2 linked regions of the Saccharomyces cerevisiae S288C genome follow. The gene in region 1 interacts genetically with each later gene. Each region holds a gene or a part of one and is shown on either strand. Other genes may lie near its edges.

The links. Genes that interact genetically often act in the same process or in processes that back each other up.
Region 2: mutations in AIR2 (region 1) and STR2 together harm fitness more than expected from each alone (negative genetic interaction), as found in Saccharomyces cerevisiae (2 studies listed by BioGRID).

What each region holds. Positions count from the first base shown.
Region 1 is NC_001136.10:143,911-147,529, reverse strand, and holds AIR2 (TRAMP complex RNA-binding subunit), read left to right. Parts: upstream 1-2,011; coding exon 2,012-3,046; downstream 3,047-3,619. Other genes in the region: DLD1 (D-lactate dehydrogenase), read left to right, coding at 1-1,704; GID12 (Gid12p), read right to left, coding at 3,307-3,619. UniProt on the Saccharomyces cerevisiae protein: Component of the TRAMP (TRF4) complex which has a poly(A) RNA polymerase activity and is involved in a post-transcriptional quality control mechanism limiting inappropriate expression of genetic information.
Region 2 is NC_001142.9:665,538-669,296, forward strand, and holds the start of STR2 (cystathionine gamma-synthase), read right to left. Parts: upstream 1,601-3,759; coding exon 1-1,600. Other genes in the region: MNS1 (mannosyl-oligosaccharide 1,2-alpha-mannosidase), read left to right, coding at 2,107-3,756. UniProt on the Saccharomyces cerevisiae protein: Catalyzes the formation of L-cystathionine from O-succinyl-L-homoserine (OSHS) and L-cysteine, via a gamma-replacement reaction. In the absence of thiol, catalyzes gamma-elimination to form 2-oxobutanoate, succinate and ammonia.

The sequences.
Region 1 (3,619 bases):
CTGGTGAGAAGATCATGCTACAGATACGCCTCAACAGGCACAGGCAGCACCGACAGCAGCAGCCAGTGGTTAAAATACTCTGTCATCGCCTCTTCAGCTACTCTATTCGGTTATTTGTTCGCTAAGAACCTCTATTCTAGGGAGACTAAGGAAGATTTGATAGAGAAGCTGGAAATGGTCAAAAAGATCGACCCAGTAAATTCTACGTTAAAGCTGTCCTCATTGGACTCACCAGACTATTTGCACGACCCGGTTAAGATCGATAAGGTTGTTGAGGACCTGAAGCAGGTGCTGGGAAACAAGCCTGAAAACTACTCTGATGCGAAATCCGATTTGGACGCCCATTCAGATACCTACTTCAACACGCATCACCCCTCTCCCGAGCAAAGACCTAGGATTATATTATTCCCTCATACTACCGAAGAAGTTTCCAAAATTTTGAAAATATGTCACGATAACAACATGCCAGTTGTACCCTTCTCGGGCGGAACGTCCTTGGAGGGGCACTTCCTGCCTACAAGAATTGGAGATACCATAACCGTAGACCTGTCCAAGTTTATGAATAACGTCGTAAAATTTGACAAGCTGGACCTGGACATCACCGTGCAGGCCGGTCTACCCTGGGAGGATTTGAATGACTATTTGAGCGACCACGGTTTGATGTTTGGCTGTGACCCTGGTCCAGGTGCACAGATTGGTGGTTGCATTGCTAATTCTTGTTCAGGAACCAACGCCTACCGTTACGGTACCATGAAGGAGAATATTATAAACATGACTATAGTGTTGCCGGACGGGACCATTGTCAAGACGAAGAAAAGACCCAGAAAGTCGAGCGCTGGCTATAACTTAAATGGTTTATTTGTGGGAAGTGAAGGTACCTTAGGTATTGTTACTGAAGCTACTGTCAAGTGTCATGTCAAGCCCAAAGCTGAAACTGTTGCGGTGGTATCCTTTGATACTATCAAGGATGCGGCCGCATGTGCTTCTAATCTGACTCAGAGTGGTATTCATTTGAACGCCATGGAGTTACTGGATGAAAATATGATGAAGTTGATCAACGCATCTGAATCCACGGACAGATGTGATTGGGTAGAGAAACCAACTATGTTTTTCAAGATTGGTGGGAGATCTCCCAACATTGTCAATGCTCTTGTGGATGAAGTTAAGGCTGTCGCCCAGTTAAATCACTGCAACAGTTTTCAGTTTGCTAAAGATGATGACGAAAAATTGGAATTATGGGAAGCTAGAAAGGTCGCGCTATGGTCTGTGCTAGACGCTGATAAGAGCAAAGACAAATCAGCTAAAATTTGGACAACTGATGTAGCTGTTCCTGTGTCGCAGTTCGACAAGGTTATTCACGAAACTAAAAAGGACATGCAAGCTAGTAAGCTGATCAACGCCATTGTTGGTCATGCAGGTGATGGTAACTTCCATGCATTCATCGTCTACAGAACCCCTGAAGAACACGAAACCTGTAGCCAACTTGTTGACAGAATGGTCAAGAGAGCACTGAACGCAGAAGGCACTTGCACGGGTGAACACGGTGTTGGTATTGGTAAAAGAGAGTACTTGCTCGAAGAATTAGGTGAAGCACCCGTCGATTTGATGAGAAAGATTAAGCTAGCTATTGACCCAAAGAGAATCATGAACCCGGACAAAATCTTTAAAACTGATCCAAACGAGCCCGCTAATGATTACAGGTGAGTATCTGATTTTCCTTTTTCACCCTTCACGTAAACCTGAAATATATTTCATGTAATATATATAGTTCATCCTTAAAGAAAACATACCATTTCAAAATGCCCTTTCCCAGTAGCTAATACATGCTTAAAAATGTGATATATATTATTACCATCAAATGTATTCATGATCCGGGTAGTGCCTTTTTTTCCTTCAAACACTAATGGGATGGGAAGAAACATTTCGAAAAAAGTTATGACTATTGGCAGCATCAGAGAGAATTAAACCTTACCTGTACAACGATAGCAGCTTACATCACTTCCTCGCAGTCATGGAAAAAAATACGGCACCATTTGTCGTCGATACGGCACCCACAACTCCTCCAGATAAACTTGTAGCACCTTCTATAGAGGAAGTAAATAGTAATCCCAACGAATTAAGAGCTCTTAGAGGGCAGGGTAGATATTTTGGCGTAAGCGATGATGACAAGGATGCCATTAAAGAGGCAGCACCTAAATGTAATAATTGCTCTCAAAGAGGTCATTTGAAGAAGGATTGTCCCCATATAATATGTTCGTACTGTGGGGCGACGGATGATCATTATTCTCGACATTGTCCGAAGGCTATCCAGTGTTCAAAGTGTGATGAGGTGGGTCATTACAGGTCACAATGTCCACATAAATGGAAAAAAGTTCAGTGCACTCTTTGTAAGAGTAAGAAACACTCAAAAGAAAGATGTCCTAGTATATGGAGAGCATATATTTTAGTAGATGATAATGAAAAGGCTAAGCCCAAGGTCCTTCCCTTTCATACTATATACTGTTATAACTGCGGTGGAAAGGGGCACTTTGGTGATGATTGCAAGGAAAAACGATCATCTAGAGTACCTAACGAGGATGGAAGTGCGTTCACTGGTTCTAATTTGTCAGTTGAGCTAAAACAGGAATATTACCGTCACATGAACAGAAATTCGGACGAAAATGAAGACTATCAATTTAGTGAGTCCATATACGATGAGGATCCACTACCGAGACCTTCCCATAAAAGACATTCCCAAAACGATCACTCTCATAGTGGCAGAAATAAACGTAGAGCATCGAACTTCCATCCTCCTCCTTATCAAAAGTCTAATGTCATTCAACCAACTATAAGGGGCGAGACGCTGTCACTCAATAATAATATTAGTAAAAATTCACGGTATCAAAATACAAAAGTAAACGTCTCGTCGATATCGGAGAATATGTATGGCTCCAGATATAACCCTTCTACTTATGTTGATAATAACAGCATTTCCAACTCTTCCAATTACAGAAACTACAATTCTTATCAACCATATAGGAGTGGTACCTTGGGGAAAAGAAGATAACTTTAAATAGGAAGCCCTTTAACAAGCTGTTCTTGGTTACATTATATTTTCTTAATGAAAGATTAAAGACAATACCTAATTCGACCATTAATCAAAATAGCATGTAAATTTCTTACATCTTCTTGTTGTGAAAAAAAAAGGCCTTCGTGCAATCACAGGTAATAATAATAACATATACATACATATACGTAAATACGTCTTATAACTCCTGCTACCTCATACGCTATTTTCTATTATGGCTAACATCTATGCAACTCAATTTAGTCTCTTTTTACCTTTTTCACAATGAATGTATAAAGGTCCTTTTCATCGTAATCTAACCTTCTTTTTTGTGCATTTAAACCGTCATAATCGATTAGAGCAAGTTTGTCGACAAACCGATCTTTTCTATTTAGCTTTAGTGAATCGCACAGTTTTATTCTTCCTAACCTGCAGTTTTTGAAAAATTCGCCTTTAAGAACAGTTATCTCTCCTGCCATTGATGTTACCACCAAGTGAAACGTAAGGGCGCAAACATTGTCTGTGCCTACGTCTATATCATTAATTATAACAATTGTATCATTAATCAATCCG
Region 2 (3,759 bases), on another chromosome or scaffold:
ATGTTAAACTGGGGTAATATATTTTCTTGAACAATTTTCCCACCTGAGGCAATAACACCCTTTTTAACAATATATCAGTGTTTGTATTCACCTTGATTGTACGTTCCACGAAGTCTCTCGAATTTCTTTCCAGGCATAACGCATCTTCGCACCATAGGCAATCTTCATATCCGTCTTCAGTCTTCATAAATTTTCTAGCAAACTCATAAATCTTTCCTCTAGGATTTAGTACTAAGGATCCTGCAATAACGTTCGAGTCGCCGCTGAAGATTTTCGTTAGCGAACTACAAACAATATCGGCATACGGTAATACATCTATATTGACAAAGCCACCCACAGTTTCATCGACCACTATGTAAAATGAATACAAGTCTGATAGCCTTTTCAGTTCTTGTAAATCTCCCATTTTCAACAGTGGGTTCGATGGAGCTTCTATAAATACCGCCAGTATTTGCTCACCAGAATGTAAAATATTTTTCAGAGCGTTCATTGACGTTGAATCTCCCTGTCCCAAGAAATGTGTGTGATTGAACTTCCGAAGAATGCTCAGAGTATCTGTATATGGGAATCCAAACATGACGGTCTTCTTGAACGGAGGTCCATATCCAATCAACTTATCTTGTCTACTAGAAGACCTTGATAAGCGCTTGGCATCGAAGTTTAAAAGCAGCCTGTGGGCAGTGAAAATGGACGCCATTCCACTTGGAAATAAGTAAACATCCGTATTAGGGTTGACATGAAACTTCAAGTCATCGGTAGCTGTGTTTTCAAAAGTACTGTTTGAGCCACTTTCTCCCATAGAAGTAATTGTTTCGGCAGGTATGTCCGAATTCAACTGATCATCATCCAGAGCCTCTCCACTGCCAACATTGAATGGACCGTTGCTCTCGTTATAGTGTTCAAAAGAGAATAGGTCCGATAGACCTTCAGAGTCAATTTTTTCAACAACTTTTGTGGCAATCCTCTTTCGTATTAGATATTTGGCTTTATCAGCAGCAAGAAAATTTAAATTTCTCCCAAATCTCGTTTCTATATATTCTTCGTTCACTCTGTTTTCATCTTCGGTCATAAATTTTTTACCGTTATCCACTGTTTCCATCTTCTTAAGATTATCCTTGACTTGTAATTCATGTAAAATATACTCCGCCATTCTGCTAGATACAATCTCACCAGAATGTTGCCAATACTGCTTCATCACGGGGAATATTTCCTGGTCTACAAACACCACCGTGATTTTACATTCCCTTCTCCAGAGCTTTTCCTCTTGGTTCATAGGTTTAGGTGTACATAGTTGTAAGATGCGTACTTTGGTAGAAAGACCCGTTTTCACTTTGATAAACTCTCTGCACCTATTGGCAACCTTGTAAGAGGGGAAGCAAAGACAAGCTTCATCTTCCATGGAGTACTTAGCGGATAAAATTTCACATAATTTCTTTATTGACTTGTGTATGAAAAATCTTGGATATCCGGTAGTAAGCGAGTTAATTATACTGCTTTCACCCTCTTCATAGCCTACTGTAGCTTCCCATGTGGGCAAACACACGGAAACAGCATGTTTTGTGTTGGGCGGAATAGATTCACCAATGGTTCTAGATATCATTTTTTCTTCTGTTCCTCTTCTCTCTCTTGTTTATGTAGGTCCCGAATCGGCACATGAGCGTCATTCTACTATCGTTATATATATGGGTATATATATATATATATATCCAAAATATATGACTAATTTTTAGACCGAGATATTGTGAAGTGCAGAGGCGCTATCATGATTTTTGTTTTTTACATCCACGCATGAAGATAAGTCATATTTACTAGGTTTGAAGGGTTTTACCTGAACAACACTGGCAATCATTGAAGTTAATTGAGTTCTTAAACCGCAAGATATTTTAATATGAATACTGCTATTTTTAAATAAGACTGTAGCAAAATGTGGGGTTAAACTTTTACAAATTCACTTTGGTTGTAACGCATTTTCTGTGGAAGAGCAATTATTTGGAATTTTCAGTTTCGCCAAACGAAAGAATGAAAGAAATGTGCTTTGCCAAGAAACGAAAGACGACAGAAAAAGGTAGTAAAAGAGGAAAAGGTTAAACATTGAAAAAGGATTCTATGAAGAACTCTGTCGGTATTTCAATTGCAACCATTGTTGCTATCATAGCAGCTATATACTATGTGCCATGGTACGAACACTTTGAGAGAAAGTCACCGGGGGCCGGAGAAATGAGAGATCGGATTGAAAGCATGTTCTTGGAATCGTGGAGAGACTATTCCAAGCATGGCTGGGGATACGATGTGTATGGACCTATTGAGCACACTTCCCATAATATGCCTCGTGGCAACCAGCCGTTAGGCTGGATTATCGTAGATTCAGTGGATACCTTGATGTTAATGTATAACTCCTCCACACTATACAAAAGTGAGTTCGAGGCAGAAATTCAGAGATCGGAGCATTGGATAAACGATGTTTTGGATTTTGATATTGATGCCGAAGTGAATGTTTTTGAAACTACTATTAGAATGCTAGGTGGTTTATTATCCGCATATCATCTATCTGATGTTTTAGAAGTAGGTAATAAGACTGTCTACTTGAACAAAGCAATAGATTTGGGGGATAGGCTTGCTTTGGCGTTCTTATCCACTCAGACCGGAATTCCATACTCAAGTATAAACCTTCATAGTGGCCAAGCGGTTAAGAACCATGCAGATGGGGGGGCATCTTCTACCGCAGAATTCACTACGCTACAAATGGAATTCAAATATCTGGCGTATTTGACAGGAAATCGTACTTATTGGGAGCTGGTGGAGCGTGTTTACGAGCCATTATACAAAAATAACGATCTTCTAAATACCTACGATGGATTGGTTCCAATTTATACATTTCCAGATACTGGGAAGTTTGGTGCTTCGACTATCCGGTTCGGATCAAGAGGTGATTCTTTTTATGAGTATTTACTAAAACAATATTTATTGACGCACGAAACACTTTATTATGATCTGTACAGAAAATCCATGGAAGGTATGAAAAAGCATTTATTAGCACAATCCAAACCCTCTTCTCTGTGGTACATTGGGGAAAGAGAACAAGGTCTACATGGACAACTTTCTCCTAAGATGGACCACCTCGTGTGCTTTATGGGGGGATTGTTAGCATCAGGCTCTACTGAGGGCCTTTCTATTCATGAAGCCCGAAGACGTCCGTTTTTCTCTCTTTCCCTTGAAAGAAAAAGTGACTGGGATTTGGCTAAAGGGATAACTGACACATGTTATCAAATGTACAAGCAGTCTTCCTCGGGGCTTGCGCCTGAAATCGTTGTCTTCAATGATGGAAACATAAAACAGGATGGTTGGTGGCGGTCGTCTGTGGGTGATTTTTTTGTTAAACCACTCGATAGGCACAACCTACAAAGACCAGAAACGGTGGAATCGATTATGTTCATGTATCATTTATCTCATGATCACAAATATCGTGAATGGGGGGCGGAAATCGCAACTAGCTTCTTTGAAAATACCTGTGTTGATTGTAATGACCCAAAATTAAGGCGGTTCACCAGTTTAAGTGATTGTATCACGTTACCTACAAAGAAATCTAACAATATGGAAAGTTTCTGGTTGGCAGAGACTTTAAAGTATTTATATATATTGTTTTTAGACGAGTTTGATTTGACCAAAGTTGTTTTCAACACAGAAGCTCATCCTTTTCCAGTATTAGACGAAGAAATATTAAAATCGCAGTCTCTGACCACAGGTTGGTCGTTGTAGGTT